Sus scrofa: one gene and its partners. The protein of the gene in region 4 binds, or shares a complex with, the protein of the main gene of each other region. Links are inferred from orthologs where the notes say so. Each region holds a gene or a part of one and is shown on either strand. Other genes may lie near its edges.

Evidence for each region.
Region 1: TIMM21 (region 4) and SMIM20 share a complex: the UniProt entries of both Homo sapiens proteins name them as parts of the MITRAC (mitochondrial translation regulation assembly intermediate of cytochrome c oxidase complex) complex. The link is inferred for Sus scrofa from reciprocal best matches to the Homo sapiens genes TIMM21 and SMIM20.
Region 2: TIMM21 (region 4) and TIMM17B share a complex: the UniProt entries of both Homo sapiens proteins name them as parts of the TIM23 complex. The link is inferred for Sus scrofa from reciprocal best matches to the Homo sapiens genes TIMM21 and TIMM17B.
Region 3: TIMM21 (region 4) and TIMM17A share a complex: the UniProt entries of both Homo sapiens proteins name them as parts of the TIM23 complex. The link is inferred for Sus scrofa from reciprocal best matches to the Homo sapiens genes TIMM21 and TIMM17A.

The regions. Positions count from the first base shown.
Region 1 is NC_010450.4:19,699,301-19,704,995, reverse strand, and holds the start of SMIM20 (small integral membrane protein 20), read right to left. Parts: upstream 3,955-5,695; 5' UTR 3,838-3,954; coding exon 3,729-3,837; intron 1-3,728.
Region 2 is NC_010461.5:42,972,412-42,978,237, forward strand, and holds the start of TIMM17B (mitochondrial import inner membrane translocase subunit Tim17-B), read right to left. Parts: upstream 3,877-5,826; 5' UTR 3,635-3,876; coding exon 3,462-3,634; intron 2,605-3,461; coding exon 2,505-2,604; intron 1,215-2,504; coding exon 1,151-1,214; intron 1-1,150. Other genes in the region: PQBP1 (polyglutamine-binding protein 1), read left to right, coding at 4,254-4,320. UniProt on the Homo sapiens protein: Essential component of the TIM23 complex, a complex that mediates the translocation of transit peptide-containing proteins across the mitochondrial inner membrane.
Region 3 is NC_010452.4:24,198,625-24,204,165, reverse strand, and holds the start of TIMM17A (mitochondrial import inner membrane translocase subunit Tim17-A), read right to left. Parts: upstream 3,822-5,541; 5' UTR 3,767-3,821; coding exon 3,741-3,766; intron 1-3,740. UniProt on the Homo sapiens protein: Essential component of the TIM23 complex, a complex that mediates the translocation of transit peptide-containing proteins across the mitochondrial inner membrane.
Region 4 is NC_010443.5:149,852,361-149,857,915, forward strand, and holds the start of TIMM21 (mitochondrial import inner membrane translocase subunit Tim21), read right to left. Parts: upstream 3,544-5,555; 5' UTR 3,211-3,543; coding exon 2,913-3,210; intron 1-2,912. Other genes in the region: FBXO15 (F-box only protein 15), read left to right, coding at 4,181-4,308. UniProt on the Homo sapiens protein: Participates in the translocation of transit peptide-containing proteins across the mitochondrial inner membrane.

The DNA of each region.
Region 1 (5,695 bases), on a different chromosome or scaffold from region 4:
GTACCAGGAAAACCCTAGCCAAAAGAAAGCTGGTACCTACGATAATATCAGATAAAAACAGAGTTGGGGAGGAATATCAGGGATAAAGAAAATACTGATATAAAAATAATAACGGAAAAAAATTCTCCAGAATATTCTAGATTATGTGCACCAAATAATATGGCCTCAAGATATCCAAGCCACAGAATTAAGACATCTGATCTGGAACCATCGCATGCAGAACTCTGCACCCTAAAACAGGACAATATACGGCATTCCAAGCACACGGGGGACATTTGCAAAGACTGACGTGTACCGAGTCACAAAGCACTTCTTGACCAATACTGAAGAATCAGAATTATAGAGTCTGGAGTCTTTGACCACAAAGGCAAAGAAGGTATAGATCAGCAACCACACAGAAACCAGAAAGACCATGGTGGCTGCTGGGTGGAGAATGGGTGGTGGCAGGGGCCCGCCCAGGGGAGCAGGGAGACCAGCTCAGGGTGCAGGGAGCGGGTGGGGGCAGGGGAACTGGACACAGGTGGGGACAGTGACATGGAGAAAAGAGTTCTGACTGCCTTGTCCAGTCATATACATCTGGCAACTGACACAGTGCCAGGCACACAGTAGGAAGTAAAATCTAGATTTTTTAAGAAATGGAAAGGAAACTAAATAAAAATGCCTGCTGGAGGCTCAGAAATGAACCGAAGCCCTGTCCTCACATGGTTCCCAAGACCTGGCCACGAATGCCCCACCCGAGTCTGTCCACCTGCTTAAATCTCCTTGTCTCACTTCCCCGCCCTTGCAGCTCCTGGTTTCTGAAATGTTTTTATGGGGTGCTAGTATAAGACTATCTTCTATGTTTCCACAAATGTTATCTCATTCAATTCACCCACAAACATGTAAATTCAGTCCTGCAAATTCCACTGTTACCGATTAGCAAACAGGCTGGGCTCAGAGAGGTTAAGGAACTCACCTCTTTGAGTAAGGGATTTTAGGCCCTTATCTGACTTACCCCTTTTCTCGCCCTCTTACAGAGACGGCCTGGTGCCCTGGTAAAGCGATTAAGGGCCCTGGTTCAAATCCCATGTCTGGGACTCATCGGCTGTGGGTCCTTATGCAGGTTATCTGTTCCATACCTCAGTCTGTGCACATATAAAATGGGGATGATGGGAGTTCCCATCGTGGCGCAGTGGTTAACGAATCCGACTAGGAACCAGGAGGTTGTGGGTTCGATCCCTGGCCTCGCTCAGTGGGTTAAGGATCCAGCGTTGCTGTGAGCTGTGGTGTAGGTCGCAGACACGGCTCGGATCCTGCGTTGCTATGGCACCGGTGTAGGCCGGCAGTTATAGCTCTGATCAGACCCCTAGCCTGGGAACCTCCATATGCTGCGGGCGCGGCCCTAAAAGGACAAAAGACCAAAAAAAATTAAAAAAAGAAAGAAAAGACAAAAAATAAAATAGTTTAGAGTAGAGTAGAATAGAATAGAATTAAAAAATAAAACAGGGAGCTAGTCACACAGCAGCTACCACAAAGGGTTGTTATGAAAACCAAATGGGTTAATATATATCAAGTGCTTGCAAGAGAGCTTTCAATAAATATTAGCTATTTAGTATTATTTACTTTTTTAAGGAATCAGTTATGACTCTCAGATAAGAGTTGTTCAAATCAATTAAAATTGAACCAGAAAAGCAGGCAGCTGTAGAATGCCTTACAGTTAAAAATGCAGATACTGGAGCCACATGCACTAAATGTTCACTTTAAAGGCCTCATTTGTCTATCTCAAGGTGACTCAGGCAACCATAGACTCTGGACTACTCCCCATCCCGCCTTTTTTTTTTTAGGGCTGCACCTGCCAGATATGGAAATTCTCAGGCTGGGGTCGAACTGGAGCTGCAGCTGCCAGCCTACAGCACAGCCACAGCAAGTGCCAGATCTGAGCTGCACCTGCGACCTATGCTGTATCTTGTGGCAATGCTGGATCCTTAATCCACTGAGCAAGGCTAGGGATCAAACCCTCATTCTCATGGATATTAGGTTCTTAAACAGCTGAGCCACAATGGGAACTCCCTGGACTATTCCTTTAAGACTGTCATTGGGAGACACAGCACAAACCCACCTTGATCATCTGCCCTAGAGCAAGGGTTTCTCAACCCAGCACCACTGGCACCACTCGCATCTTGGGCTGGGTAATTCTTTGTTAAGGGGTGGGGGCTGCCCTGTGCATTACAGAGAGTTTAGCAGCACCCTGGCCTCTATACACTAGATGCCAGGAGCACACTTACTCCACCCACCCCACCCATTTTGTGACCAGCAAAAACGTCTCCCGATAGAACTAAATGTCCCCTGGGGGACAAAAATCATCCCCAGTTGAGAGGTACGGCTCTAGTCTTCAGAACTGAAACTTTTCAAGTAGGATCCAAAGTAGATTCCCTTGTCCCAGCTTCAACTCTAGGGGCTATAATACAATAGCCCGGGGCAAGGACCAAGTAAGAAGGGATAAAACAGAGAGATAACGCAGGGCTTCCAAGGTCCCATGTTTACCCCCACGCGTGGTCACGCGTGGTCACGCGTGGTCACGCGTGGTCACGCGTGGTCACGTAGATAGATAGGCTGGAAGGCAGGGTGCAGAGGCCATTTCAATCTTGACTGATGAAAAGAAGCTACAAGAAATTTGAGTGTGTACTTAAACCGCTCTGCCTCAGAAACCAGATGTTGTAGCATTTGTAATGGTCAGAGCATTTATACAGCACTTTTGCCTTCAAATCACCAAGCTCACAGCCTCCACTGATATTCTCAAGGGGCAAGGTTGGCCCTTTTCCATCTTCTAGATGATTCAGGTTTCCTGGAGAACAAAATGAGCCTCTAATGCCTAATATTTTCTCTCTGACAGATGGTTTCAGATGTATCAAAGTGCTAATCCTTGCTGAGGTATAGGTCTCAAGGAAGGGGAGTGTGGCTTTTAGAATGATAGGACTGGAATGATTAAGGAAGAAAATTACTCCCAGGATATTCACCATTGTCATGTGAGTAACCAGCTTAAAATGAAGGAAGATAGCAGAATCTGAAGGAAGATTTGAGGAGAAAGAAGAGGAAAAACCCAAAACCTCAGGTTAACAGTTTAGCTCTGAGACATTTCTGATCAAAGACATCTTTGGGAGCGGAAATGAAGTGCAATAAACACATCTGCAAGTTCAGGACAATTAGGGCCCACCTCCCTCCCCCAATATCACCTTCCCAGCTTCAGTACAAGGAAGAAATTCTGGAGACAGAGGCCTGGGTTGGAATACGTGTCTTGCCGCTAACAGCTGTGTGACTTTGGGCATGTTACACAACCTGAGTCTCAGTTTCCCCGTCTGTAAGACAGCAACATGTACCTCAAAAAAAGGTGTAAATTAAAAGATCCTATGTGCATTAACGAGACATAGAAGCCTGCAGTGAATGTTAGCTATGAATATTAACTCGTATTTAGTGTTGACCTACGACGTGCAGACTGCCTTTGAGTCTCAGCAGAGGCTAGACGGTTTTATTTTAAGATACTACAGAAACACATAACTACTGATGAAGATAGTGAGGGCCCAAGAGGTGGAGTCACTTGTCCACGGTCACAAAGCTGCACACAAAGGATTCGAACCCAGGTCTCCCTGACTCGCGAGCCAAGCTCTGCCCAAGGCCCCACGTGGAGAGGATGGGGAAAGAGAGGGAGTCACTGGGACCAGGGCACCGCGTGGTGGTCAGAGGTCACTCACGGTACTCCTCCAGCCGCATTAGGGGCCGGAAGTAGATGGGGTAGAAGGCGGCGCCGATCAGGGTGATGAAGCCACCAAAAATGAGCGCGGTGCGCAGATTCGTGGACATGGCTCTGAACCGGGCCTTCGCTGACCCGCTGAGGACACCGAGCTCTCGCAATCCTGGCTCCTGCCCGCTGGGTCGTGACCCGGCTGGGAAGTGGAGAAACGGCTTTTGCTTCCGGGCCTTGTGGGCGGGGCTAGGAGGCGGAACAGGGGCGGGAAGAGGTTGGGTCAAGGGTGGCACCGAAGGCGGGGCTTAGGACTGGGTGGGGCTAGGGCAGGGGGTGGGGCTGGGGCGGGGGTGGGACTAGGGGAGGAAGGGGCGAGGCGTGTAACCCCACGCACCGCCTCCGGGCGGTGCCTGGCAGCGCCTGGCTGCCTGGCTCCGGAGGGCGAGCGCCAGCTGGGAGAATGGAGAGTGGAGCTTTTATTGCTCTTGATCTCAGTTCCGCCCCCTGCCCTAAACCGGGTTCACCTCTCAGCCGCTCCACCCACACTCTTCTGACCTCGTTACCACTCCCTCCTTTACCAACCAAACTTCCTTCTTCCACCACTGGTTTGATTTTCATGACTCCACCAAGAGGTGGATGCTCTCTAGGGCTCATTGATTTAATCCACATATCTTTTACAGATGAGGAAATCCTGTCTTGGCTGCATGATTTAAACAAGTTGCTTGGCCTTAAGGGCGGTTTGAGGGGATTAGAGACAAATGCAAATCGCCTGACCCTGGATGGCCAGCAGGGGCTTCTGAACCAAGGCTAGCTTGGGAGGAATATTATTGCAACATCCAAACTACAAGTAAATCTTTTCTGACTCTGATCTTCCATGCTCTCCTCTCTCCCTCTTCCCTTTGTTGGATGTCAGGATTACGAATGAGGATGGGGAATAGAGATCCGTGCAGGGCAGGGAGCCAGCAGCCAGTTCTACTAATGGGACCTTGGGGCTCTGCCTTGTTGCCTGGGGTGGAAGCCACTGAGGACAGATCTGCTTCCTCTTCCTGTGATTGCCATCCTTCATGTTTCTGGGGGGGGGCTGTGTCAGTATATGACCCACCCAGCGGTACTGGACAGCTGAGACTAAGATTCCCTGGGCTTTCACTCAATCGTTTTTAAATAAGAATGATACCAGCAGCTGGGGGCTGGGGAACAAATCTTGACCCCAGCATCATTATTTAGTGCAGAAAAGATTTACGATCTTTCGGAAATGGTGTGGAGGTCACAGGTTTCCTCTTTTCTTTGTAGTTTTGTAGTTGAGTCAAGCTACTATGTACCTCTGTGGTTCCAGAAGCATATAAATCAGGTATTCAATCTGTCAGCAGATTTATGGACTGTCCGCTGTGCCCCAAACATCAGGCAAAGTGCCACGGGGGACACAAAGATGAATAAGACATGACCCTTGCTCTCCAGGATCCTGTCATGTGGATGGAGGGACAGGACATATACATAAAAAGACAGCTAATGACCCGACACAGCCTGTTGCTGATGAGTGATGGAGTCTTGGGGGCTGCAGAAGTTCAGAGGAGGAAGACAGATGACTGTAGGTGAGATAACTGCTCCTCGGGTGCTTACAGGAGCTTGTTAGGGTGAGGATAGAAGACTTTATAGCAAAGAGGGAAGCTGCGATGCCTGCTTTATATCATGTGATGTAAAAACTCAGGTATACTGCACATTTGTCATTTTAGCCTCCCAGCATCCACTTCTTTTTCTATTAATAATACCCCAACTATCTTTTGGCAAACCACTCCTCTCCCATTCTCAATCTGTGAAGAAAACTGGGGTTCCCATGCACCCTATTTTTACTCTCTCCCAGCTCTCAGGGTTAAGCATTTAACCAAGCCTGACCAAGCTCCCCCACTCATCACGGGATTGTCTGGCACTGGACCCAGGCCTGATTGTCCAGTGGGGCTGCATCCTCCTGGCCATGTG
Region 2 (5,826 bases), on a different chromosome or scaffold from region 4:
CCTGGGAATCTCCATATGCCGCAGGTGCAGCCCTAAAAAGCACCAAAAAAAAAAAAATGTTTACTGAGGTCTTACTGTGTGCCAGGACCTGATCTACATACTGCATATTACTTGATTTCTGAAAATCTAAATCAGTTAATATAATCAAAGTGCTTAACAGTGCAACCAGCACTAGTAAGTACTAAGTTTTCCATGAATCACAAAACTGATTGAGGTGGTGACTGTTACTGTCACTGGGTTCAGAGAGGTTAAGCCACCAGCCCAAGCTCACACATCACAGAAGAGCCAGGGCCTGGATTTAAACTCCAGAACTCACCCATATGAAAATTTTGGGAAATATTACCCCCCCCCCAGGAGACTCAGTCATGGCTTGGTGGAAATGAATCTGACTAGCATCCATGAGGACACAGTTTCGATCCCTGGCCCCGCTCAGTGGGTCAAGGATCCGGCATTGCTGTGACACGCAGCAAACACAGCTTGGGTCCCATGTTGCTGTGGCTGTGGCATAGGCCAGTGGCCACAGCTCCAATTTGACCCCTAGCCTGGGAACCTCCACATGCCCTGGATGTGGTCCTAAAAAGACAAAAATAAATAAATAAATAAATAAATTATTCCGGGGAGTTCCCGTTGTGGCGCAGTGGTTAACGAATCCAACTAGGAACCATGAGGTTGCGGGTTCGGTCCCTGCCCTTGCTCAGTGGGTTAACAATCCGGCGTTGCTGTGAGCTGTGGTGTAGGTTGCAGACGTGGCTCAGATCCCGCGTTGCTGTGGCTCTGGTGTAGGCCAGTGGCTACAGCTCCAATTCGACCCCTAGCCTGGGAACCTCCATATGCCGCGGGAGCGGCCCAAAGAAATAGCAAAAAGACAAAAAAAAAAATAAAATAAAATAAAAAAGAAATGCAGGGCTCAGTGGGTTAAGAACCAGCCTAGTATCCATGAGGATATGGGTTAGATCTCTGGCCTTGCTTGAGATCTTACATAGGCTGGTGTGGCCGTAAAAAACCAAAAAAAAAAAAAAATTCCCCCAGGAATTCTCAGCCAGGCAGAGTTGTGGCTAGAATCTGGACCCCCGATGTGCATTCTAGACTCAAAGGAGCAGCCACCCCCAACTTTGTTATCACACCTCTTTTGTCTCCCCAAACCTCGCACCTCCAATCTGAGGGGCTCGGATCCTCACAGCGTTGACGCTGCCTCTCAATCGGTGCCGGATTCCCTGGAGGAAAGTGAGGAGGACGGGAGTCAGAGCAGGGTTGAGGTCCACGGCAGACAAGGTTTCTAGCTTTTAGGAGAGGCACTGGGGCTGGAAAGGTAGTAGGGGTGTCAGGGGTAGAGATGTGGAGCAGTGGCCAAGAACTAGGAGGGCTAGGGAGCACCCCCACATAAGTGGCCTGAGATGTTACTCATTCATTCATTCACTTATTCAGTAGTTACTGAGCACCAGTGTGCCAGGCCCCCATGCCATAAGCAGGGTTCCAGCAGTGAACACGGTAGACCTGGCTCCTACCCTCTCAGAGTTCACAGTATAGGAGGAACAGATCCTGAACAAGGGCACAGGTGAACCAGATAGCTTCAGACAGCCGCAGGTAATAGAGATAATAGGATGAAGAGATCTGAGAGTGGCTGAGCAGTCAGTAAAGGCCTCTTTGGGGTTGGGGGCTGAGACCCTGAGGAAGAGAGGGAGAGAGTCGGGCAAAGATCCAGAAAAGAGAGTTCCAGAAGGTGGGAGAGGGACAGGGCTAGAGAGAGAAATTGCAGAGACTCTGACATTAAATGGCATTTCAAGTCATGACATTTGAGGAGTTCCTGTTGTGGCTCAGCGATAATGAACCCAACCAGTATCCATGAGGACTCGGGCGTGATCCCTGGCCTTGCTCAGTGGGTTAAGGATCCAGCGTGGCCCTGAGCTGTGGTGTAGGTCGCAACCGTGGCTCAGATCCCGCGTGGCTGTGGCTGTGGCTGTGGCCGGCAGCTGTAGCTCCAATTCGACCCCTAGCTTGGGAACTTCCACATGCTGCAGGTACGGCCCTAAAAGACCAAAAAACCCAAAAAGTCATACATTTGATGAGATCTCTCAGGAAGGGGGAGGGGGGAGTTGTTCAGAGAGACAGAATTGAGTATGTTCAATTAAAAGCATATTGTCAATTTTAAGGCTGTCCTCCTCCTGCCAATTAAACTCCTATCACTTCCCTCTAGCCAGGCTTCCAACCCAGAGTCTGTCTTTAGGTAACATCTGTCTGGCTTTGCACACACACCTTTAAGTTTTGTGATGACAAAACCTTTTGACAGCACAGCATTTCCAAAGAGGAGCTCCAGTTGGGTGGGGGGTGAGGGGCAGAGGTCATGTATGCAGTTCCCCCAAACTCCCAGATCGTGGAACCAGGCCTGGCACACAGTAGGTGGGCAGGCACCAGAATGATTAAGTGCCCGTGACTGGCACTCCAAGCGGTTTTCCCATGTGGGCGGGGCAAGACCCCCGCACCACCCAAGGAAGGTCAGGACTCACGACAGGGGCATTGCGGAAGCCCTTAATGGCCTGGAAGACTCCACCGCCGATAACACCCATAGTGAAGGCTCCACCGCAATCATCCACAATTCGCCATGGGCTGCAAGCGGGAAGGGGAGGATAGGGTTAATGTGAGCCCTCCCCCATTTTATGTCACAAGGACACTTTCCAGCTGGGAGAAACTACGTCACTCAAATGGGGAGCAGCACTTCAAATAATAAAGAGGGTATTTTCCTCCATATTCTCGCAAAGAAACAGTGCGGAAGGGGGAAAAACATTAGTCGTTGCCCTTGTCCGCCCCTCTCCTTCACAGCCAACTGGTTTACTGCTAGCAAAGATTAAATGACTTGATTGCAAGCAAAGAGTGGGCACGTTTAAATAAGCGCTACGGAAGTGTTAACAAGCTGGCACTGTAAAGTACAACGGGGGTCGCACCCCCTCCTCCGACAATGAGCTCGTCCAGCCACGCTCTTCCCTTTCTTCACCTTGCACGAGGGAGGAAAAACCTAGCTGCAGACCGTGGGGACGATCCGACACCCCCTCCTTGCCCACAGTGGGCTCACCCAAGCCCCGCCTCCATTCACCAAAGGGACCTGGGAAAAACCACGCGCGGTAACCCTGGGGATTTCCGCCTAGCAACACACCACCCCCCGGCTGGAATGGATTCGACCAACGTGTCTCTTTCCGTTAACAAGAGGGACCGGGGACAAGAGTCAAGGGAAACGTGGAGTGGTTCGTCCTGCACCGCACCAGCTCCTTCAAGCACACAGTTGTGGCCCCTCTTAACGGAGCCCAAGTAAGGAAACAAGTGGACGGGAGCGGAAGGAGACAACAAACGTTTAAAAGTCTCCCGAGTCTGGGACGTGGCGCTGTGTAGCCAGCGCCTCCCCCGCCCGCCTCCCACCGCTGGCCGTGGCGCCGCAGCAAGAGTCCCGAGGCCTGTGCCCCTCGCCGTACCAAGGCTCCCGAGCGTACTCCTCCATGGCGCCGGCGTCCGGCCGCGCAGTCTGGCTAAATCCCGGCCGGGCCACACCCCCACTGTAAACGCACACAGGCGCCCGAGCTTTCCACCTATTCCAAGGTAATGATTGGGTCCTTTCGCCAGACGTCAGGCCAAGGCGCACTCTCATTGGCCAGTTAGGTTTCCGTCATCTGTTCTCTGCAGCCCGAGCGTCGCCCAGTTACCTCTGGCTCAGGGAGAGAGGGCCTCATTCTTTCCCTCAGGAGAAAAAGAGTCGTGGTCCTGGCGATCATAAAGGCGTCGAGAGAGAGGCCGACAGTCTGACAGCCTTCCGCAACCCGCGTGACTGTATTGGTAATGTCGGGGTGGGCGCATTTTTTGGAGCTAGAGGAAACCCTGCTCCCCCCACCCCTGCTCCTTGGTTCCTTCCACCCGGCAGTCTTTGGGGGACGTTGGGTGAGCCCATTTCTGGGGCGCGGGGGAGCGGCGCTTGGCCCCTTCGGCGATGGGTGGAGCCTAGGCCTGGGAGAGGAGGCCTGGGAGAGGAGTCCTGTCCCGGAGCACCCCGCCTGGAGAGGAGAGTTGGCGAGAATTTCGGTGATACTGCCGTTTATCCCTTCCACCTTTTAGCGGGTAGGTTCTGTTGCCCAGCTCCTGGTGCAGGTGGGTAGGTGGGAGTCTAGATGAGTGCATGTTGGGGAGAGGCGCTTGCTTACGAGCTCCAGATTCAAATCCTTATCTGAACTGCTTTCTCGTCTGTCCTTCCCTAGGTCTGTCTGCTACCCGCTATGCCGCTGCCCGTTGCGTTGCAGACCCGCTTGGCCAAGAGAGGCATCCTCAAACATCTCGAGCCCGGTGAGAGAGCTAAGAGCAGATGGGCCTACCATGTGCCAGGCTTGACAGGCACTTTGTTGTTGATATTGCCACTCGATCCCTAGTATGGGCCTACTATATACCAAGCAGTGGGCTGGCAGACATTTTGTTGTAAACAATACGTATTCCTGACGCCGATTCCTACCGCGTGCGCGCGGACGCCTACGGTGGGGGTGGGGCAGGGAATAGACATTTCAGCTTTAGTCGTACCTAATACTGACAGCTGATGCTTATCTTGGATCTTCATACGCCAGATTTAATCCAATCGATCCCTGGAAGAGTATCTAAGGATATTAATAGTAAACTGACATCTATTACAGCCTCTTTTGGACCAAATACAGTGGGAGGAGGCTGATATTTTGTTCTTTACCATACTAGTAGGTAACATTTTTTTCAGATCTACTGTAGAGCCAGGTACTGTTCAGGCGATATATACCGACTTGTTCACCAGTTCAATAACTGACATGTATTTCGGGTCTGCTTAAGTGGCTGGCATATGCATTATGGTTTACAGTATGTAAAATAATGGTAGGGGAGTTCCTGTCGTGGCGCAGTGGTTAACGAGTCCGACTAGGAACCATGAGGTTGCGGGTTCGATCCCTGGCCTTGCTCAGTGGATTAAGGATCCAGCGTTGCCGTGAGCTGTGGTGTAGGTCGCAGACGCGGCTCGGATCTGGCGTTGCTGTGGCTCTGGCGTAGGCTGGCAGCTCAGCTCCGATTGGACCCTTAGCCTGGGAACTTCCATATGCCGCGGGAGCGGCCCAAGAAAAGGCAAAAAAACAAAAAACAAAACAAGGATAATGATAGGATCTGTCATTTTGGCCTGCTGTGCTGCCGTTGCCAGTATTTATACCTTACTGTCATTACAGTAAAAGTTGGCATCTATTTTGGGCTAAGGTGTGGCCGTGTACTGGAAAACTCATTTTCACTTTATTGACAGGTGACATCTATTACAGGTTTGTTGTGTGCCAAGCATAGATCTTTGGTTAATAATACGGATAATGGTCATTGATATTTATTTTAAGCTTACTGAATACCGGGCCTTGTGCCCGTGGTACGTTTCTTACTAACAACACTAATGATTATAGCTGATGATCTATTTTGGACCTATTGTGTGACAGGCACTATGTTATTGCTGAAATAGACATTTCATTGTTAGCTGTATACACAGTTGAAACCTGTGATCGGCCAACTGAGGTCCAGGTACTCATGTACCTTTTTTAAAATGTTTGGTCTTTTTATGGCCACACCCACGGCATATGAAAGTTCCCGGGCTAGGGGTCGAATCAGATCTGTAGCCGCTGGCCTATGCCACAGCCACAGCAATGCCAGATCCGAGCTGCATCTGTGACTTACACCACAGCTCACAGCAGTGCCAGATTCTTAACCCACTGAGCAGGGCCAGGGATCAAACCTTCGTCCTCGTGGATGCTAGTCGGGTTCGTTATTGCTGAGCCACAATGGGAACCCCCACTCATACACCTTTTT
Region 3 (5,541 bases), on a different chromosome or scaffold from region 4:
TGCCAGAACAAAACCTTGAAGTCAAAACACCTTATCAGAGTTCCTATTGTGGCTCAGCGGACACAAATCTGACTAGCATCCATGAGGATGTGGGTTCAATCCCTGGCCTCGCTCAGTGGGTTAAGGATCCGGCATTGCCATGAGCTGTGGTGCAGGCTGCAGACACGGCTCAGATCCAGCGTTGCTGTGGCTGTGGTGTAGACTAGCAGCTGTAGCTCTGATTTGACCCCTAGCCTGAGAACTTCCATATGTGGCAAGTACGGCCCTAAAACATTAAAAAAAAAAAAAAGAAAAATTAAAAAAAAAAAAAACACCCTTATCCTTCCCAAGTCTAATACAGGTCAGAAGCTGGTACAGAGTGACAACCTCGTGCAGCAGATATTCCAACTGTCAGACTGATGCTTTGGTTGCTTCCGTGGTTCTGAAAACACAACCAGCAACAAATACCTGGGAGCTGCCAGAACTGCAGGCTCTTGGGACCTCCTGAATCAGTCTACAGTTTAACACAATCCACAGGTGACCTGACCTCACTAAAAAGGATTAGGAAAATTCCCTCAAAATAGTAGAAACATTAACAGGTAGAAAAGAGGAAAGACAGGGAGTTTCCGTCGTGGCTCAGTGGTTAACGAATCCGACTAGGAACCATGAGGTTGCAGGTTCGATCCCTGGCCTTGCTCCGTGGGTTAAGGATCTGGCGTTGCCGTGAGCTGTGGTGTAGGTTGCAGATGCAGCTCAGATCCCACGTTGCTCGGTGTAGGCAGGTGGCTACAGCTCCCATTAGACCCCTAGCCTGGAAACCTCCATATGCCCCGGGAGCTGCCCAAGAAATGGCAAAAAGACAAAAAAAAAAAAAAGGGCGGAAAGACAGAGGAGAGTCACTAACTTTAAACAATCTAACCTAAATGATCCTCTAATCAGAACAGAAATAAATCAGCATTTAAGAAATGAAGACTAGCAGGAGCCAGGAATTCCTGCTGTGGCACAGCAGCTTAAGGATTCAGCATTGTCTCAGTGGTGCTGGTTTGATACCCTGCCCTGTGCAGTGGGTTAAGGACCCAGCATTGACACAACTACAGCTCAGATTCAATCCCTGGCCCAGGAACGTCCATAGGCCTCAGGTGAGGCCATTAAAAAAAAAAAAAAAAAAAAAGGATTCAGATCAGAGCAGCCACAGTATTCGGACAGGATGTCCCAAACAAAGGCAAGACGGAAAGTTTCTGAACAAAGCCTGGCTAAATCCAAATGTGCCTGCAGGGAACTGATGGTCTACACCAAAGGAAGGGTGAAGCCAGATTCTAAAAGCAAATGCTAGGAAGTTCCCGTCATGGCTTAGTGGTTAACGAATCCGACTAGGAACCATGAGGTTGCAGGTTCGATCCCTGGCCTTGCTCAGTGGGTCAAGGATCCGGTGTTGCCGTGAGCTGTGGTGTAGGTCACAGACGCAGCTCAGATCTGGTGTTGCTGTGGCTGCTGTGTAGGTGCGCAGCTGTAGCTCCGATTGGACCCCTAGCCTGGGAACCTCCACATGCCTCAGATGCGGCCTTAGGAAAGACAAAAATGCCAAAAAAAGAAAACTGGAAGAAAAAAAAAGCAAATGCTAGGCAAATACAGGGCAACAAGAACCAATAACCAATCATACCAAGATTAAAAGTCATCAACTACACTGTAGGTACCTTTCGGACTTTCAAGAAAGCTAGATTATTTTCTTATAGAATCCCTATCTTTTAACTTTGCAAAAGAGTATTTGTCTCCTCTCCATTTTACAGATGAACAGGGACTCAGAGATTAGGTAACTTGCCCAAGGTCAAATAAAAAATACCTAGGAGTTCCCGTCGTGGCTCACTGGTTAACAAACCCAACTAGTATCCATGAGGATGTGGGTTCAATCCCTGGCCTTGCTCAGAGGGTTAAGGATCTGGTGTTGCCGTGAGCTGAGGTGTGGGCCGGCAGCTGCAGCTCCAATTCGACCCCTAGCCTGGGAACTTCCATATGCTGCAGGTTCAGCCCTAAAAAGACCAAAAAAAAACCCCCAAAAAATCCCAAAAAACAAACAAACAACAACAACAAAAAACCTAGTCGTTCCTGTCATGGCCCAGCAGAAACAAATCCAACTAGGGGTTCCATCCCTGGCCTCACTCAGTGGGTTAGGGATCCGGTGTTGCCATGAGCTGTGGTGTAGGTCACAGACATGGTTCGGATCCCGAATTGTTGTGGCGTAGGCAGGCAGCTGTAGCTCCAATTTGACCCCTTGCCTGGGAACCTCCATATGCCATGGGTGCGACCCTAAAAAACAAAAAAAAAAAACCAACCAAACAAAAAAAAAACCTAGTAGAACCAATTTAAATACAAAATCTAGTACTCCAAAGCCCCCAAATTCTTTCCACTACATCCTATAGACTAAGGGCTTTTGAAAAGAAAACATGATTAAAAAGTATTTAGGGTGGCTGTGGCGTAGGCAGCAGCTACGGCTCCGATTGGCTCCGATTGGACCCCTAGCCTGGGAACTTCCGTATGCTTCGGGTGCAGCACTAGAAAAGACAAAAAGACAAAAAAAAAAAAAAAGAAAGTATTTAGGACCATTAAGTACCTATCATACATTTAAGGAAGAGGACAGAAGGAAAACAATAAAGAAGCTTCTGTAAAAGGCATTAAGGACAGAGGTAAGGTCCTGACTACAGGAACTGAAAGCGCAAGTCCTCAAAGAATTCCGACGACAGCAAGGGGGCTGGGTGGGGTGGTGTGCAGGGAGGGCAAGATGCTTGTAGTTTGAGCCTGGATGACCTTAGGGACCAGGGTCTTCCAGAAGATCAAAGCAGTTGAGGACAAAGCCAACCTGAGAACTGAACTGACCATGCGGCTTCAGAACATCCGGAGTAAGAGAGCACAAAGGGGCCATTAAATGCGTTTGTAGATGACAACTATCACTCCCTAACACCTCTAACAACCAAGTGAAACAACTTCCCCTCCTGCCAACTTGTGCCCTATCATACCTGACATGAGCAGTATAGTATGCTGAGTCCTGCACACCTGAGTACAACCCAGGAAGGGGTATCACCTTTGGAGAAGGGAAATTTAAAGAACTGGGAGGCTCTGCAAAGTAATACTCTGTATCTCAGTTCAGGGAGGAAAAAAAAGCACAAAGCAGGCAACATGGCTTTTGCTGGCACGATTCGTTACAGAAAGCCCTGGCCCCTTCCGACAGATGGAAAGCACCGGTGATTAACCCAAGTAACACGTTCTATTTTCACTCCTGACCCCAGAAGCCTCAAACTTTGCAGGTCGGACTCCTCCATGCTTTCCTTCTGAGGACCGAGCGACTGCGGAGCACAGGCAGCCCCCTGCCCCAAAACATCGAATGGACCGACTCCCGTCGGTGGCTTTTCGAGAACACACGCCTCGCCCCCACGGGAGAGTCCCCAGCCCGGCCCTCGCCCCCAAGCGGCCTCCTCGGCCTGGCTCCCTCCCCACGCAGGCTGAGCCACGCGGGCACAAGGACGAGCCAAGGTCGCCGGAGGGCAGAGGGGCTGCTTCCCACCCGCAGGTCGGACAGGGGCCGCGTCTGCACAGCTGAGCCGGGGCGCCCTCGAGTCGCCGCAAGGTCACCGGCTGAGAAGCCGGCCGCTCACGCCTGCGTGCCTATAGCCCCGGCGCCGCCGAGCCTGGCGCTGAGCGGTCTCGCCTCGGGAGCCAGGCTGGGCCGAGCCGGGCCGGGAGGCAGGCAGCTCGGCGAGAAGGCTCACCAGGGCTCGCGCGCGTATTCCTCCATCTTGACTCCGCGGCGCCGCGATGCCGGGTAAACGGGGCGGGGCCTGGCCCGGCGGCGGAAGTGATCCCGGGAGGAGGGCGTTAGAATCTGCGGGGATTGGCTCGCCACCTCCTCCCGCAGCCAATGAAAGCCGGGGCCGCGGGGCGGAAGGCGGGGCTCAGACCAGAGGGGCGGGCCTCCGAGGCGGAGGGGCGGTGCGTGTGGGTGGCCGCGTGGGGAATCCCAGGTGAGGAGAGGTACCCAGAGCTGAAGCTGCGGGGCCTGGTGGGGCCCGAAACAAAACTGCCGTTGTAACTCGAACCTCCCGAATGACTTTCTCTGTTTTAGTACCCGGCTGTCAAGTGCGAATTACTGCTGCCAACTTCGACGGGTCGGTAAGGCCCCCACTGCTGCCACGGAGCTCCTTAAGATGGGCAGTACCTGAATATTTTATCTCGGGGGGGCCGGAATGTAGTGAACGTTCCATGAATGTTTGTGAACACCTGGGGCGCTGCCGTGATTCATGGGGGACCTTAACATGGGGGACAGCAACAACAGAGTTCTTCCGGACCTCACTCTAAATGATCCCGGGAGATGTAAGGGGGGCTTAGCCCAGAGGAGGAGACAAAAGGCTGGGGGCCATCGGCCTGAAAGCAAAACCTCAGTCAGGTGACAGCTGCTATAGGTCTCCATCCTGAACATCTGAGATTGACTTTAAAATGTCCAGAGTTCCTCTGGTGGCTCAGTGGTTAAAGAACCCGACTAGTAACCAAGAGGTTGCAGGTTCAATCCCTGGCCTCGCTCAGTGGGTTAAGGATCTGGCGTTGCCCTGAGCTGTGGTGTAGGTCACAGATACGGCTCGGATCCTGTGTTGCTGTGGCTCTGGCATAGGCTGGTGGCTACAGCTCCGATTGGATCCCTAGCCTGGGAACCTCCATATGCCATGGGTGTGGCCCTAAAAAGACAAAAAAAAAAAAAAAAAAAAATCCTCAACGAAACAAAACATGTGTGTACATTTATTTCATGGAAAAGTTTCTGTAATAAATAATAGCAAACTGCAGGGGGAATGAGGTTCCCCCCCCCAAATCTTGGAAATAAGGTGAAATGAACTGAACCCTCCACAGAACTAAATAAAGCTAGTCTGGAAGTGTGAAAACAACAATTCAAACCAGTCCTCTGACTTGGATGCCTGCGTCCAGGAGGGCTTACTTATTTGGAATGTGTGAATGTAATTAAAAACACTTCAGGGAGTTCCCATGGTGGCTCGACGGGTTGAAAACTAGTTCTTTGGGGCTGGGCAAGGAGGCCTCGGACTTAGCCTTTGGCTGGAGGAGAAAGCTGTCACCCCACCCTTGGAAGTAGCCCTTCCATCTTAGAAGAAAAGAGCTGAATGGTCAGTGACATAAAGGAATGACAACAAGACTCATAGACAAAAGGACTGGGGTCCCCGAGAGTGAACTGACCCTGAGTCTGGGGGAGTGGAGTGGAGCTGGTAATCCAATGCTTCAGGGCTTATTTGGTGAAAGTGGGTGTTCTGGGCCAAGGATGAGATGGCACTGGACCCCCAGAGACCCAGGTCCTCTAAGTATTGCTTTGTGGAAAACAGCTCCACCAGGGGACTGAAGGAGGTGTGGCCCTGAGACCTGTTTTGCTGCTCGATTTCCCCAACTGAACAAAACAAGGGAAGGAAGCTCCTCCCTTGGAAGCCGCCTGGAGGCTGTGAGGCTGTGACCCTGCGGCCTCTTGCCCACCCCGTCCATCCCATACCCCACCGTTAGCTTTCATTCATCTGGCAC
Region 4 (5,555 bases):
ACACTTATTTAAGAGTACTCTTTAGCACAGTGCAATCCTTCCAGCTTTCAGTATGGATTCCTAACTAAAAAGATGCGATTCAAATAACAAAAAGATTGCATCTGCCAAAATATGTGTAGTTCATGGGCCTGATCCACACAGTCACTGAGCAAGGCTCATGTCATGGCGAGGCTGCCCTCCCAGCACAGTCACTGCTGCCTCACTTAGACTTTCCGGGAGGCCTCTTCCCCATTAATTCAACCACAAATGTCTACTGTATATATTCTATGTAAAGCCCACCATCCACACATTTTTAAAGCTTAAGTGTTATTTCATAGTTGTCTTCAGTGGAAGCTGCTCTTTGCCTACTTCCTCTCCTTGACCCTTTCAGACTCTACACTTTCATACAAAACCCTTGTGCCATCTGTCTCTGCAATTAGGGGTGCTATGGTGAGCACCCACATGCTCCTCTCAGGACCGAGGCTCTCATTCCCCCAGCATGGGGAGTCCCTCGGGCTGCTGGCTGGCTGACGGAATTCCTGCACCTGAAGAGAGCCTGCTCACCAAAGCCCTGGCGCTGCCCATATCCAGTGCTTGGCTGGTGTGGATGCCCCCCACCCCTGGAGATGAGGACTTCAAGGGCCAGCCCAGTTCCTGAGCTCCTGCAGAAACAGCTGAGGCAAACACCCTGTGCTTCAGCTTCTCCTTCTGCCCAGTCCTGCCTCCCTCGCCCTCACAGAGGCATTCTGAAAACACGCCCTCAAACCTCCCGCTGACGAACTGTACAGAGTTGGCTTCCTTGGAACTCGCCCTACGGTGGGGCCTGCAGGAGTGGTCCTGGGAAGGTGCTCCAAATTGGGATTTTGGAGCTGCATCACTGGCTGCCGGCTGGCCTTGAGGACTCCACCCCTGGTGGCAAGCAGTGATAGCACAACTGTCTCGCCTCTCACAGATGACCTGGGAAACTGGTGGGAGGGAATGCCCTAGTGGGTGTCATATTTTGGGAATTTAGGAGAAATAAGCAATTGGAAGGGCTCAGATTGGATGGCTGTAGTTGAGGGCCACCAATACACTGAAGAAAGAAGACAAAGGTAACTGATCACTAATGAAGGTCAAGTGTAAAAGGCAGAGGCCTCCTTGAGAGCAAAACCAGAGACTCATTCGTTGCACCCAGAGAGCAGAAAACACTGAGGGCAAGGCCCAGGCTAAAGAGTAGCAGAGAGGCTGGACTTTCAATCCCACCAGCTTTCCCACACCGAGGCCAGGGTCATGACTTGGGAAGGAACCTGAAGCTTGGCAGTGGTGTATCGAGGCTGATGCATCTCAAATCTTGAATCTGCAGATTCTCCTGAACCCTCCAGTGTGAAGCAGCAGCTCTCACCTCCCAGGGAAAGGCTAGCTCTTCCTCTTCTTTGAAGACCTGGTTGGGGCTTCCATCTAGCAAGACCTATGCTCTAGGCAGGCTGCAACATAACTAGGGGAAGGAGGACATGAGCCACTCCTAAACAGGCTGGAGGCTCCACCAGCAGAGCCAGGAGACACAGAATGAAGGGCATCATGAAGGGGCAAAGAATACAGAACGGGAAAAGTGAGACTTGATCAATAAGGGAGCACGCTCCTCAGATTAGAAACTAAAGTCTGACAAGCGGGCTGGGAGCAGATGCACAGCTAGGCTCGCTCTTAGAAAGATGGAGAGAGCATGGTCTACCTTAAGTGAAGCAAAAATAACAGAACTGCCATGGAAAACTGTGTAGGAAATGATCAAAAGTCACAGAGAGTGGGTCTGCAAGAGAGGACAGAGGCAGAAACCCACCAGCTGACTGTCATGTAGAAGGGTCTGGAAACCACCGTTCACATTGTCACAGAACAAGCTGTCCTGAAAGCCATGGGGGCAGCTATGGTAGTGAAGCCAGGGGGAAGCAACCATCACAATGAATGGCTTGGTTTCTCGACCTGAGTCAGTCTTCAGACCTGGAATCCATTTACCCAAGGGAGGCCAACCTCTATCAGGGGGCACCTGAGTAACTATATATGATTCCCCTGGCCCTTCATCAGAGACCTATGCCATTAACTGCATGCTGGGAAAGGGGACTACCCAAACATTTCAAGGTCTGCCAGACAGAGTCTGAGCTGACATCAACCCTAAAGAGTCATTATGGTGGCAATGTGATAAAGAGCCTGGCCTGGAAGAGGTTCATAGCTGGGTCCACCGCCTTCTCTGATAGTCATTTCCCTGATTTCCAATGTAGAAATGGAATGGATATGCGTGGTAATTGGCAACAACAGGCCCTTCTTTACTTCCTTTGGAGGTGGGTTAAGAGCTACTATAATGGGAAAAATCCAATGGAAGCCTCTGAAACTGCCTCCCACTGACCAAGATAGTAAATCAAAAACAGTATCACATCTAAGAGAGAATGGCAGAGACAGTGTTATCAAAGACTAAAGACACAGGGGTGGTTGTTTTAAAAAGCACTGGCCTGGATATTAGAAAACTGAGGATAAGGAAGACTCACATTCAATTTTGAATTGTGTGAAATTGGGCAAATATGCTTCGTACATACTAATGAATACTAACGTCTGAAAGAGTAAATGTGAGACTCAAATGAGATGAAATAACATCTGGGAAATGTACTTATCTATTGTAAAGTATTAAACAACGGTTAAGTTTTACATAGTTCTTTCCACAAGTAAAAGTTGAGAAAAAATTTACAGACACAATTCAACTAAGTTTTATCAAAATCAACTTTCATATTTCAGTTCGAATTTGTGAAAAGACCTGTAGGCTCATATGCTCTAATTCTTAACTGTGTAATGGTTCTACCTTTTAATTTGTGTAAGCTGTTTATGCTCAGCACTGAACTTGTGTAGAAGGGCAGTAGCAGCTCTCGTCACGTTGGCTGAAAGACTGATAGTTACAGGGAATTCCTTTTTACCTTTCTGTGACGTTGAGACGGCAGTATCCCCGCCCTGACTTCTGTGCACAGACACTTGTTTGTCGCTGTCCTCTTTCGCTCTCTGCGTGCTCTGTCCTTGCGTCCAGATGGTCTTCTGGGTGACTCCCCAAATACACCTAGGTCGTACCGTCTTCTGCTCTTGCAGAGCCCACCTCAAACTGGGCACAGTCTTCAAGCAAGCTTTGTTAAGTACAAAGTGTGGCAAAAACAACTGCTTCCCCGAGAAGCTGTGCAGCTTTCCCGTGCACCGTACAGCTCGTAGTAAGGTACAAATCATGTTCACAGAAAGCCGCTCCGCTGAGGGAAGATGCCAGCTAAGATGAGCAAATCTTCACTACCAACTCCACACCCGGCCAGAGGCGGACTTAAGTCCGCATTCACATCGGTAGTTCTGCACTGCGTGTCCGGCAAAAAAAAAAAAACAAGGAGCATAAATCAAGACAAAAAGTCTCCGTAAAGGAGCTGACGTCCACTTTCCCTTCTCTCCGGCCCTCTTTTTACTTGAATTAATGTGCTTTCATTACTTTCTATGCTGACATTCACATTGTCCCCGCCAGGCCTTTGCAAAGTAACCTAGGAAGCCCCTAAGAATCCTGGGAATTGTAGTTTGAGGGCAGCACCCCTCACAGAGTTGCTGCAAGGGCAGTGGCCTTAGGCCTACATCTCCCACAGTCCAAGGCTGCCTCCCAAGCTCCTCTGCGTGGCCGCCTGCGCACACACCGCACGTACTGGGCGCGACAGAAAGGCGAGACCATGTTGGGACGGTGGGCGGGGCTCCCTGCTCTGCGTAGCACAAAACGCACCTAGGAAGGTCAAGTTAGCAATTAGAAACTGCAAGTTCTTACAACCCTCTAAAGAGGGCTATGTAAACTGGGAAGTTCTCGGTGTGACTGTGGCTATGCCTTTCCTTAAGGCCAAGTGTCACAGCCTTTGTATTTGTTTCTCCAAGGAAATCAGACAGGAAGCAGCCGCAAAGTGCCAGAGTCAGCAAGGGGGAGGGGCAAGGGCGTAGCCGCCGTAAAGTCCAGGCGATACACTTGCTAGGCGTCAGGACTTCCAGCAGTTGCTAGAAACCGGGCCCCATACGTTCCTAGAACCACTCCGAGTGGAAAGGCGGTGTGGTTCTTGACCCCGCCCCTCCGTTGCGTACGCACGTCGGGGCGTGCGCTGGCGTCGAGTGGGCGTGACCCTGGGCGGTGCGACGGTAGGAAGGAGGAGGGCGCTGCTGGTGCTCCAGCTGGGTCTCCATGGCGACTGGACGCGGCCGGCTCCTGCAGCAGTACTGGCTCGGCCTCCTGGCTCGGCGCCCGCGGATTGGCGGCGACTTCTGGGCCCCCGGGAGCGCGGGAGAAGCCGCCAGGAGCGCGGGGTTCAGGTGACTCTCGGGGGCCGCGGGCAGGGTACTGCCGGCGGGGGTGTGAGCCCAGGGAGTCCCCCGTAAGGGAAGTTTCTTACTCCCCCGCCTCCCTTTCCTTTGATTTTCATTGGTTCTGCCCCGCTGCTTTTAGCGCGAGAAATGTCTGGAAGGCCGGCGGGAAAAAGTTTCTAAAGCTTGGGAGCTTGGGGCTACCCCAAATAAATTCAAGTAGTGGAGCTTCTCGGGAATATTTTCCCCTCAGTTCATTAAGTTAATGGGCCCTGCCCGAAGCTGGGGCGTGTAAGCCCGAGACCCCGAGCAGCCCTCGGGAGAGGCGCAGCGTTGATGCGCTCCACCTGCGGAGGTAGGTGCGAGCGGCCCCCTCTACGGAACGTGTTCCCGAAGTTGCTTCCTTATTCTGGCACCAGGAATCACATTTTGTCTTTTTCTTGACTTTATATCCTAGAGAAGTAGAATATACTCTTAAAAATGTTTTTTCTCCTGAGCGCGGTTTGTGAATGGAAGGCTCAACCCCTAACCAGATAACTCTTTGTTAGGCAGGTTGGTCTGGGAGCTGCACTTCCGACCTCAAGGCCAGTCTGCTTTCCAAAGCAAACCTAGGAGGGTTGCTTTCTAGACAGACACCCGTTAGTGCTCAGCCCCTAGTCCTTTTCTGCCGTTTTCCTGCCCAGGCGCTAGGGCGGGGCGTATGGTATCAAGTTCTGGTGTCTGGGGGGCTCATCTCTGCTCCATTTCTTACGGAGTACCCTGGAATTGAAGAGTGCCCCTCTTCTACAATGAGAAAAGGCAGCTTTGAAGGGTGAGATGAGGAAGGAACAGGGGACAGGAGGAAGCAGTTGCTTTCCAAAAGGAACTTGGCAGCTTAACTCCAAGGTTAATGGCTTACTTCACAAAGTGAGAGACCCAGTTTGTCAAAAGCATCTGAATACTATTGTGATACCGTATTAAATCCCTCTTTTATCGTGAGCTGTTCTTAGCTCTGCACCCATCATTCCAGTTAGATTAGCAGGTGGAGGGTTAATGCTAAAGACCGTTTGCATTCTTTTTTTTTTTTTTGTCTTTTTAGGGCTGCACCTGGGGCATATGGAAGTGCCCAGGCTGGGGGTTTAATTGAAACTGTAGCTGATGGCCTACACCACAGCCACAGCAACGCTGGATCCGAGCTGGGTCTGTGACCTACACCTCAACTCACAGCAACACCAGATCCTTAACCCGCTGAGCAAGGCCAGGTATCAAGCCTGTGT